2 linked regions of the Canis lupus familiaris genome follow. The protein of the gene in region 1 purifies or fractionates together with the protein of each later gene. This does not show direct contact. Links are inferred from orthologs where the notes say so. Each region holds a gene or a part of one and is shown in the gene's direction. Other genes may lie near its edges.

Region 1 (5,592 bases):
CTTCCTTTCAGATGGCATACTGTAATAGTTAAATATTTGTAGTTTCCCTACCAATGGGTATCTCTGGAAGCTGCATTTTTTGTTGCCATAATGTTGTAGCGAACGCTTGAGATACTGTCTCCCTGTGCATATGTGTGAGTTTAACTCCAGAGAATCTCTCTAGAAGTGGAAGTTACAGGGTCGCCAGCTCTCGGCACTCATGTTTTATCAGTTCCTGCTTTCCAGAGAGGCCAAAGCAATGGTCACACCCAAGCAGCATAGAGATCTGTTTGGTGTTTTCCTGAGGGTCCTGGAGAGCAGTGGGATTGGAGTTCCCAGCAGGCAGATTCGCCCAAGTGTTGTGCCCAATTTGCATCACTTGTGTTCCCAATAGGTTTGCTTGCAAAGGGCACTGAAGACTAAGTGGCTAACTCCTCCTCCGTCATCTGGGTTCTCTGCGCTCTGGGAAGAGTCCCCACGGTGGAATCCTTCCTGAGCAACCAGACTACTCTGATGGGGCCACCAGCGGTACTACTCTTGCCGCGAGTGCGGATGTTTGCTTGCAGAGGGGGCCGAGAGGATCTGGGTTATGGAGAATCTGTGGCTGTCCACACAAATGCCAAAAACTGGCCCTAGATTTAGGGTAAGAGGTTAGAGGACTCCACTTGGCCCACTTCCTTGCTGAGAATGAATAGTAGTTAACTGTCAACACTTGCTGAGCTTGTGGCTCATCTTACTTTCTGCCTACACCGGCCCTACGAGGTGGGCATCCCCAGCAGCATGTGACTTCTGAGTGCATGGATCTCGTCTGCATTCTTGCCAGCTTTATTGTCTCCACAGTCTGGAACCTACATACTCATCGATTGCATCCAAATTTGTAACTGGGATGCGAGCCGCCAGGTTTGAAAACACGATTTCGTCATCCTGTGCGCAGGATACAGTCACAAAGGCTGCTGACCAAGGAAATGCTTTAACAAAAGGGTGGCTGCCTTTTAGGGTGAGAAAAAGCATCGATTTTGCACCCTTTACCCCCAAGTAAGGTTTTGGCTGGAGCCAGGGACACCGGGTGTGGGCGGTGGGGGGGCCTGAAACACAAGGCAGGGGCCCGCGGGGTCCAGGTGAGAGGAGGGGGTGCGGCGGGGGCCCAGGGCAGGCTCTGCGGACCGGGGTCTGGGAGGAAGGGCCGGGGCCGGGCCGGGCCGGGGGCGCAGGAAGCGGCCGAGAGGGTGATGGAGGCCCGGGGGAGGCAGGTGGCAGATGGACGGGCGGCTCCGGGAGAGGGTGCGGGTCGGAGCGCCCGGGGTGCCGCGAGAGCCCACAGGGGCAGGGCCACAGGGGCAGGGCCCAAGGCCTCCGCACGCGCCCGCTTCCCCCGCGGCGCACCGTCCCGCGCGCCCACGGCGAGGCCCCACGCCCGGAGGCCCGGGGCTTTGTGTCGGCCGCTCCCCGCGACTTTCCCGCCCAAGAGGCCTGCGCTCTCCTCCCAGTGTCGTGGCGCGGCCGCAGCTGGGCGCGCCGCGTCGGCGTCGGCGCATGCGCGCGCTGGAACCCGCCCTTGGGCCGGCGCACGTGGCCCCGCGAGCCGGCGTGCGTCCGCGCGCCCGCGCCGAGCGCGACTGCCGCCCCGCCGCGACTCTCCCCTCCGCGCCCGGCCGACGGGTGTGGCCGGCCGAGCCCGCGGCGTGCGTGCGCGCGCACGCCGGGCCACGTGGGAGCGACGCGGCGCCGTTGCCCCGCCCCCCCCGGCGCGCGCCGGCGTCGGCTGCGTCTCCGGGCATTTGAATTGCGCTTCCGCCATCTTCCAGCCCTCAGTCAGACGGGCCGGAGACGCTTCTGGAAGGTAAGGCAGCGGGGCCGGGCCGGGGGCCGCGGGGGCCGCGGGGGCCAGGGGCCGGGGGGCCGGGGGGCCGGGGGGTCGGGGGCCGGGCGGGGGCCGGGCGAGGGCCGGGCGAGGGCCGGGGCCGGGGCCGGGCGGCAGTCGTGCGGGCCGGGGCGGCGGCGGCGGCGGCGGCGGGCTCTCGCCGTCCCCTGCCGTAGAGACCGAAGACCGTGGCCGGGACGCCAGTCGCGGTGGGCCCGGGCGGGCGGCGGCCCCGGGGCGGCGCGGGCCGGGGGGCGCGCGATCGGGGCCCCGGGCGGCCCCGGCCTCCGCCCCGCGCGCCGGCCTCCGCCCCGGCCTCCCGGCCTCCCTCCCCCACGGGCGCGCCGCCAGACCCGCCGCCGGAGCAGCGCCGCTCGCCCGCCCGCCCGCCGCCGGGAGCGCGCCGCGGCCCCCGCCCCGGCCCGGGCGTGCGCGCGTGGGGCCCGGCCGCCGGAGCCCCTTTGTGGGCCCGGGCACGTGGGGCGGGCCGGCCATGTGGGCCCGGGCCCCGCCGCCAGCCGTCCCACGTCTGTCTCCCCGCAGCACCAGCGCTATGGCTGCCCAGGGAGAGCCCCAAGTCCAGTTCAAGGTGGGTGGTGCGCGGGGGCGGCCGGGGGGAGCGGGGCGGCGCGGCCCGGGGGGCGCCGGGGCCTCCCCTCCCCCCCCCCGCCCCCCGCGACCGCGTCCTGTCTCGTAGCTGGTGCTGGTTGGCGACGGCGGCACCGGCAAGACCACGTTCGTGAAGCGTCACCTGACGGGTGAATTCGAGAAGAAGTATGTAGGTACGTGGGGGGAGCCGCGGGGGCCCCCGGGAGCGGGGCGCGAGCGGACCTGACGGCCGTGCTTGTGTTGCAGCCACTCTGGGCGTGGAGGTCCACCCCCTCGTGTTCCACACCAACAGGGGCCCCATCAAGTTCAACGTGTGGGACACCGCCGGCCAGGAGAAGTTCGGCGGGCTCCGGGACGGCTACTACATCCAAGGTGGGTGAGGGCGGGCCGGCGGCTGCCGCGTGCTGTGTCATGATGGGCGCAGCGCCGAGCCTGGAGCCTGGAGCCGGGACCCGGAGCGGGCTCCTCACCTAAGACAATGAGCATCCCACGAGGTGCTGCTGTGGCTGCCGGAGTCGTTGGGGCTGGTTGGGGGTTTTTTTGCTTGTTTTTTTCCCTCAAGGGCACTGTAGAGTGGCAGATAAAGACAGGAAGAAAATGTCATCTGGGATCTCTTGTGATGAAAGATGATTGGGAGTCCTTCCATATTTTGCATCCTTTGCTATGTTACAGATACACAGCTTTTTTTTTCTCTTCTTAAAAAGTGTTTAATTAGGAAACTCCTAGACTGTACATACTTCGGTTTGTTGTCTCAATTATATTAGAATTGTGTTCCTCATAGGTCAGTATGTAGGCCTGCGTGTTTTAAGGCAGAATAACATACTCTTTTGTGTAGTTTAGGATCATTTAAAGAGCAGGTTCTGAGATCCTCAGAATAGAGGAGACCAGTTGTCTTAGGGTGCTGCTCTATCGGTAGTCTACTTGAGATTCTGGGATGGGACGGAATTAATGAAGTATTACGGGAGAGATTTGATAAGCTAGGCTGGTAGTTCACACTCACACAGAAAATGAAACTTTAAATCTTGTTACGTATTACAGTGGTTGGAGATCCTTAAACTTGGAAGAGAGAGACATTGGGGTGTAGTGAGTGCAGAAGCAGAGGTAGCCAGATTGGGCCTGTCCCCTAGCCCGTGCTCCTTAGCATTCCTCATTTGTGCAAGAAGTCATACATGTGTAACAGTTTTCCTACATCTGTTTCAGCCCAGTGTGCCATTATAATGTTTGACGTAACGTCAAGGGTTACTTACAAGAATGTGCCTAACTGGCATAGAGATCTGGTACGAGTGTGTGAGAACATCCCCATTGTGCTCTGTGGCAATAAAGTGGATATTAAGGACAGAAAAGTTAAGGCAAAATCTATCGTCTTCCACCGAAAGAAGAACCTTCAGGTATGTTTTTTAAAACTTAATTGTTTTTCTCTAAGATGAAACTACGGTAATAGATCCACTAAAGGAAATTGTGTCTGTGGTATGGATGGAAAAACTATTTTTAGTTTTAAACATTTCAATGATCCTCAAGAAGTAGATTTTTAAAAACTTATTTTATTTTATGGAACAGTACTATGACATTTCTGCCAAAAGTAACTACAATTTTGAGAAGCCGTTCCTGTGGCTTGCTAGAAAACTAATTGGAGACCCTAACCTGGAGTTTGTCGCCATGCCTGCTCTTGCCCCCCCAGAGGTGGTCATGGATCCAGCTCTGGCAGCACAGTACGAGCACGATCTAGAGGTAGGTGGCAGATGGGTCCGTCAGTGGGATCTCTTGGGTGTCCCGTGTCCTGACGGCTCTAACCCATGGTGTCCTGACGTTGTGTCTCTGTCCAGGTTGCTCAGACGACCGCGCTCCCGGATGAGGATGATGACCTGTGAGAAGTGCAGCTGGAGGCCAGCGTCAGAAGTCTAGTTTTATAGGCAACTGTCCTGTGATGTCAGTGGTGCAGCGTGTTTGCCACTTTTATTATATAGCTGAGCAGAACATGTGCTTAATCTTTGGGATGCTGAAGGAGATGAATGGGCTTCGGAGTGAATGTGGCAGTTTAAACAGTACCTTCATTTTTTTGGACCTGCATACTTAGCTGTTTTGGAACGCAGTTGTTTCCTTCCTGAGTTTCAGATAATGAGACTGCTACAGTCCCATCACAATATCCAGTGGTGAAATCTCGTTTGTCACTGTCATTCCCATTCCTTTTCGTTTAGAATCAGAATAAAGTTGTATTTCAAATATCTAAGCCAATGAACTCCTCCCTTGTTTGGTAAGCATCTTAAAACCACTAACAGGAAAAGTTGTGCCACGTTACTGTTGAACTGGCCTTTGCTATTCTCCCTTAATTTGAATCTTTGCAGGTTAAGTTCTTGTCTATTTGTACATTTGGATCCTCTCACACAGGTGACAGGGCAGACATCCGCAGTATTCCGTTTGGTAGATTGTTAGAGGGGTGAGCATCCGTGGTGAAGCTAAAACGATGCCCGTCGCATCTGCCTTCAGACTGGGTGGTGTCACCTGGGGAAGAGCTTTGGACTTCTGTGACCTGTTGGAACAAAACTACTAGACGTTTCGGATAGGCATTTTAAGAATTACAGTTAACATTATTTTGTGACCAGTAACCGTGCTCTCATGTAGGGATGTTCAGAATCTGGTAGAACGATAACAGATGACGGTGGGGACTTGACAGGAGTCTCATTTGTTAAAAATGAGTGTAAGTTATGCATTGATTTGATTTTGTTTTAATGTTAACGTCTAATGTGAAGCTGGTACTCTAGAAAGATGTTCCACGATTACCCGCTGCTTTCAAGTATTTCTGAGTGTTAAAGATGCTGAAGAGTAAGGATTTAAGTTGGGCATCTCACAGCTTTGATGCTTTTTTTTTTTTCTGAAGGATTTTTGTGGCCAATTCAAAGGCACGAACACTAAATAGAAAAGTAGATCTTAGAATGGCTTCTTGAAACGTGAAACATTGCAAAGGTTTCGTTGGATCAAACCATTTATCTTTGTATGATTTACACATTTAAGAACGAGTGGAGTCTGTCTTCAGTTTTGACCCCATGGATGCTATACTGTAGCAGTTAGGAGTCTTAAACTATTATGCTCACTTGAGCACTGCTATGGTTGTTTACCAAAGTTCCTTAGATGTCCATTTCTCCTTA
Region 2 (5,913 bases), on another chromosome or scaffold:
TAGGACCAAGCACTGGGAGGAGGACCTAAGGCTATTAGAAGACAAGCGTAAAACAAATTGCACTAAATTCACCCCTTCAGTCCCCAGAAGGCTGGTGACAGGCCTTGGGTCATCTCCCAGGGGACCTTCTGGCTCCCAGCCATTCATTCCTCAGAGACTGAAGATGTTGGATAATAAGCCAAGAGCTCCCATACCCCGGCCAGTGTCTGGGCTACTGCTGTGCAAGAACCTCCCACTTAATTGTTTTTGTTACTGTTGTTGGTTTTTGTGTTGTTGTTTTTTTTTTTTTAAAGAACAATTTTTTTTTAAATGAATTCCAACCCCTACTAGATTCCTTTCCTTCCCTCCCCCCACCCACCCCCACCCAGTTTTCAGCAGCACTGTTTATGCGATGGAGTCTGTGTTTCTCAAATGCGTGGCAATCCTCAGGTGGAAAGTGGGTAGGAATTTTTACAACAGGTTTCTTTTTCTTTTTTAATTTATTGGACATAAAGCCCCAAACCAGGATATGTGTGTGTCTGTGTTTTTTTTTTTTTCCCTCATTGGACCCTCCCCCTCTTTCAATCTACCCCCTTTTATATCTAATGTAGAGAAAGCAAATTTGAATCTGGAAAGCAAACCATTGTATATAGTTGCGGTAACAATCATGAAGAGAGTTGAGTTGTCCCCTCAGTAATTCGTTTTAAGCAAAAATTGGTTGACAATGAAGTCCATGGCAGGCCAGCTGAAGAGGCCTTCCTCCATCACTGCCAGAGGCCCCTCTTATCTGGGCCCTCTGTTCCATCAGGCATGTCTCCTCCCGGCAAGATTCATCTGTTCGATGCCATTTGCGTTTCAATAAAGTTATCTCCTGTATTGTCCACTGGCTCTCTGGTCCCCTCTGTCTGGTTTGTCTCCGTTTATCTTGTGGCCCATTCCTTGATCCGCAAGGTGAGACTGCTTGTCATTTGCCTAACCAAGAGGTAAACCTCATCTGCCTGGAAAATCTTCAGATCCGAAGCAGGAGCGCTGGACCCCTTTGGTCAAGGAAGGCTGGGGGTGGGGGGCTGGGGATCCTACTTGCATGCTGCAGACACAGGATCCTTCGCCAGCCCGGATTTCACAGGGTTCTTGGGTCCTCCGTCCACTGCCACAACGTTTGAAGATCCACCACCCTCTGGACCTTCCTGTTTTCTTCCAGAAGTAAAAGTGAATTAACCCAGGGGGAAAAAAAAAAAAAAAAGGTGTTCTAATGGAACAAGGAAAGAAGGGAAAGAAGTCCTACTACCCCTACTGTGGAATTTCAAGGTCCGCAAAGCAATCTTTTTTCCCTATGAAATTGTGGTAACGAGACCCACATGTCCTCTAACATGGGAAGTGACCAATGTGCTCAGAGCTCCCTCAAATCCAGGAACCCATCTTTAGGAAGAACAGTCCAATGGGTGACAGCCTCAGAGTACTGTCCACGTAGCAGTCACGGTCTTAGAACTGGGCTAGGGCTTACCATCTGGTGTCCTCTGCCTCTTGGGAATGAGAGTCAGGGTTCCTAGAAACCATTTTAAGGCAGTCAACCTGAACAGCTTGCTAAAAATCACCTGTTCCTCCTGCTGCAGACATCCCATCCCAGCAACAAGCATCCCTCTACTTCTAAAAGTCGTATTTAACAGCCTTGCATTAGTAACCCCTCTGCATAGTCCCCTCCACTTGCTCCAGCACTTGGGAATCTCTTCCATCAGCCTTTTCCTACCACCAGCCCTAGGATGTCCTCTTGCTCCTTCACCGCTTGGACGTCCAGCCTCAATTTCTCCAGGTGGGGAGGAGGGAAGAGAAATGCATACATTGTCAGCGAATGGGGTCCACTCTCAGGCCTTCCCCTGGAGGAAACCCCCTTCCCGATGCCCTGCCCTCTCCCCCCAATTTTGAAGCTGGGCTCCAGCAGGCCGGAAACAGCGCAGGTGACCCTCCCTACTGCCCAGTGCACTGGGATCCTCTCCCCCTACCTTCCAATTCTTTTTTTTTTTTTTTTTTAAGATTCTATTTATTTATTCATGAGAGGCACAGAGAGAGGGAGGCTGGGACCCAGGCCGAGGGAGAAGCAGGCTCCATGCAGGAAGCCCGATGGGGGGGCTCCATCCCGTGACCCCGGGGTCACGCCCTGGGCCGCAGGCAGGTGCTCCACCGCGGAGCGCCCCCCACCCCGGGATCTCCCTTTGAATTCTTCTTGAAGCTGAGATGAGGCTCACTGGAGCCAATTTTTAGTTATTTTTTTCTCCGTGTTTGGTGTGCGGGGTGGGAGGGAGGCCCGCCCTGCCCCGAGGGGCCCCTACAGCTCCTCCCTGCCAACAAGGTGGCTCCTACCTGCGAGGTCCACGAATCGGGCGTCCTCGGTCGCGGCCCCGCTCCGAGGGAGGCCGCCCCGCGCCCACCACAGGGGGCGCTGTCCCCGGAGGCCCAGGCCCGGCCCCGCCCCCTCCGCGCTCCCGCCCGGCCCCGGTGCGCAGGCGCGGCTTCGCGGATTGGCCGCGCGCGGGCGCCGTCGCGCGGCGGCGGGTCCCTGCCGCGGGGCTGGCGGGCTGAAGGCAAGGAAGATGGCGGCGGCGGCGGCGGCTGGCGCGGCCTCCGGGCTGCCGGGTCCCGTGGCGCAAGGGCTGAAGGAGGCGTTGGTGGACACGCTCACCGGGATCCTGTCCCCCGTGCAGGAGGTGCGGGCGGCCGCCGAGGAGCAGATCAAGGTGCTCGAGGTGACGGAGGGTGAGTGAGGCGGGGCCGGCGCGAGGACGGGGCGCCCCCCCACCCCGGGCCGGACTGCCCGCTGCCCGCGGCGCCGGAGCCGGGGGGGGCGGGGGGAGCCCGCGGAGCCCGGGGCGGCGAGGCCCAGCGGGAGGCCGAGGTCCCCCGGGGCGGGGGGGGAGCCTCGCGGCGGGGGCGGGGCCGGGGGGGTCGCGCGGCCCGGGAGGCCTGTCGGGGTTCCGCCCGGGGCGGGGGGCGGGGCCTGGGCCGCCGGGGGTGGAGTCTGCAGGGGGCGGGGCCGGGGGCCGCCGGGGGTGGAGTCTGCAGGGGGCGGGGCCTGAGCCGCCGGGGGGTCGCGTGGCCGGGGAGGCCTGTCGGGGTTCCGCCCGGGGCGGGGGGCGGGGCCTGGGCCGCCGGGGGTGGAGTCTGCAGGGGGCGGGGGCTGGGGCCGCCGGGGGTGGAGTCTGCAGGGGGCGGGGCCTGAGCCGCCGGGGGGTCGCGTGGCCGGGGAGGCCTGTCGGGGTTCCACCCGGGGCTGGGGGCGGGGGTGGAGCCTCGCGGGGGGCGGGGCCTGGGGCCGCGGGGGTGGAGCCTAGCGGCGGGGGCGGGGCCTGGAGGCCCCCGTGGGGTCGCGTGGCCAGACAGCCCTGTCGGGGTCCCGCCCGGGCAGGGGTGGAGCCTCGCGGGGGGGGGGGGGGGGGGGGTTCGGCCGCTCTGCGGTCCGCGCCCGCGAGCTGCTGCCCCGGCGGGAGGGTCGGGGCCGAGCGCGCGCCCCGCTGGTTCCCGCCGCCGCCCCGCCTCCCCAGGCCTCTCCACGCCTCCGCAGAAGCCGCCTTCAGTGCACGTGCGCCTGGCTCGCCTTCCTGGCCGCGCTCCCCGTTCATTATCGGGACGACCTGCGCTGAGTAAATGCCCCCTCCCCCGCCTCCCCTCCGTGTGCATTTCCGTTCGGAGGAGCTGATCGTCCTTTGTCTTTGAGTCTTTGTCCCTCGCACCCCTGCTCCACGCTCTAAACGGTGGAGGAAAAATGGGGGACTGTTGGTTTCAGACGGCCGGTCGGTTCCCCGCTGCGCGGCCTCCGACCGGACCGCGCTCAGCCAGTTCACAAAGAACGATTTGATCCTAAAACAGGAGGGAAAAATCCTCTCGGTCTCTACGCGGGGCGTCTGCCCGGCCTGTCCTGCTTCCCCAGGACCTCCCCCGGCTCGGCCGCGCTCGCAGACCCCTTCCCAGGCGGGAAATTCCCCGTGCGCTGCCCGGCCGCGCTCAGAACCTTGGGCTCGCGCCCCCCGAGCTGGCCTTGGGGCTTTTCTTTCCCCTTCCATTACACGACAGGGCTGCTGAATGTGCATTTCCTTCTGTCGGAAACACGTTGAGATTTGGGATACAACAGGTTAAGGACCGTTTTGAAGGCCTGATTATGATCGTCATTGTTCCATAAAATGTCAGACTCTACAATAGGGGCAAACCTCTGGTTAGAAGAAAGCTTTTTGAGAGCCACGCATAGATTGATGCAGTTATTAGTCTCCTAGGTAGAATTTTTTTTTTTTTATTTCCATTGTCTCTGCCTCCCTTGGATGTGAAGGAGGAAGAGTGACAAAGCAAAGGCTCCTCATTTCATTCAAGTTACTCCTTGAATGAAGTTGAGGGTCTGATGCCTTCTCTGAATGACACCCGGATCTCCCGGTGCCCGATGTATGTCTGGCACCTCCCTACAAAAGGTGAACCTTGGTGCACATTCTAACTGTCCAGTAACAGGTCCACTTGGGCCCTGGTCCCTTCTCCAGCCTGTGCCTTGGTCTCATCTGCATAGCCTATTACTGTATAAACTCCTTAGGATCTTTTTGAAATTCAAGCCTCTAGCTCCCTTTATCTGTTGGGGGTCTTGAAATCTAAAATTAAAACAGAAATGCAGAATTTTGCATTTGATTTAGGCCACTGACGGGAATAGACTGAAAGGCACCACCTTAACTGACTGGTAATGCGCCATCAGGCATGCTGTGCAGCAAGGAAGGACTAATATAGTGACCGGATATTGGTGGCCTCTAGTACTCAGGCAAGGACTCATGGGGTTAGGATGTGATGCACAGAGTTAGACCAGGTCTCTAGAGTTGATTACCGTGCTTTGGACCCTTTGGAGGCAATTTGTGTATTTAAGTAGGCCACTCCTTATGTTTATTTTAAAACCATAAAAATTCACCCCTTTCAATAACCTCTTTTTAGATGGAGGGTGATGAGCCATTCCTCAGATATAATACCTTGCTTCTCTCCCTGCCTCTTTTTACGGCCTTTACCAAGTTATTTTTTGCCATTGGGTCCAGAGTACCTCCTGTCTTATATACTGCCTGCATCTCAAATGGCTCCTTAACATGGTCACTAGTTTCTTTTCTACTACCCATTGCTTGCCTTTACCTGAAAATACAGGCACCTCGCTTCCCGGCCAGCAGTTAGCCAACTGTCTGTCCTGGTAAAACTAGTAGGATGCTGCTCTTCCTGTTATATTACAACACCCTGCAGGCCAAAGTAGGAACCATTCTTGTAAATGAATGAGCAAACTATTGGCTGCTCCTTTGGAGTTGCTTTACATTCCAGTTTTATCCTAGTGGAAGAACCTTGCTTTCCTGCCCTAGGAAACACACTTCCTTAAAACTTGAAGTAAATGAGAAATCTGAGGGTTGGTGTCTGTTACTATCTGTATTCTGGTCATCTTTTGATTTTTTTTGGCTCCGTGGAGCCCAGTGTTAGGTGACAACCAAATCTAACTGTTTCTAGTCCCTCTGTCCCCTCAAATAACCGCGCTGTCTTTGTGAGTCATTTATTATTGCCTCACATGGGAGAGTGGTCCCAGTTAATCTTTAACCAGTCTGCTCCCTTTGCCAAACAGGTGTACCACCTTCCTTGGTTGCCAGGTGATGACTCTTAATCCTGGAGCTTAAGTGGAAGAATTTCTAATTTTGAGGGAAGGGACACAAATCTGTATTTGTTAACTTTTGTTAAGTGGACCGACAAGAGAGGTTGACATGCTCCGACCAGATTCTTAGGAAGCTGAGATTTTAAGAAGTATCCTAGAAAATGTGAGGTTGCTGGAGCCCAGAGTACATTCTGGTCATTTAGTCTGCCAACTGACATTTTCCGAGAAATAATTAGTTACCATGTTTTCCAGAATGGGAGCCTATTCTTATGTCTCCGCCAAGGAAGTGTATA

Evidence for each region.
Region 2: the proteins of RAN (region 1) and IPO9 purify together in Homo sapiens (affinity purification with mass spectrometry; 3 studies listed by BioGRID and IntAct, with this or other methods). This does not show direct contact. The link is inferred for Canis lupus familiaris from reciprocal best matches to the Homo sapiens genes RAN and IPO9.

Annotation. Positions count from the first base shown.
Region 1 is NC_049247.1:1,620,221-1,625,812, reverse strand, and holds RAN (GTP-binding nuclear protein Ran), read left to right. Parts: upstream 1-2,381; 5' UTR 2,382-2,393; coding exon 2,394-2,429; intron 2,430-2,537; coding exon 2,538-2,622; intron 2,623-2,695; coding exon 2,696-2,821; intron 2,822-3,649; coding exon 3,650-3,837; intron 3,838-4,006; coding exon 4,007-4,177; intron 4,178-4,272; coding exon 4,273-4,317; 3' UTR 4,318-4,331; downstream 4,332-5,592. UniProt on the Homo sapiens protein: GTPase involved in nucleocytoplasmic transport, participating both to the import and the export from the nucleus of proteins and RNAs. Switches between a cytoplasmic GDP- and a nuclear GTP-bound state by nucleotide exchange and GTP hydrolysis.
Region 2 is NC_049228.1:1,256,450-1,262,362, reverse strand, and holds the start of IPO9 (importin-9), read left to right. Parts: upstream 1-2,517; 5' UTR 2,518-2,567; coding exon 2,568-2,730; intron 2,731-5,913. UniProt on the Homo sapiens protein: Nuclear transport receptor that mediates nuclear import of proteins, such as histones, proteasome and actin. Serves as receptor for nuclear localization signals (NLS) in cargo substrates.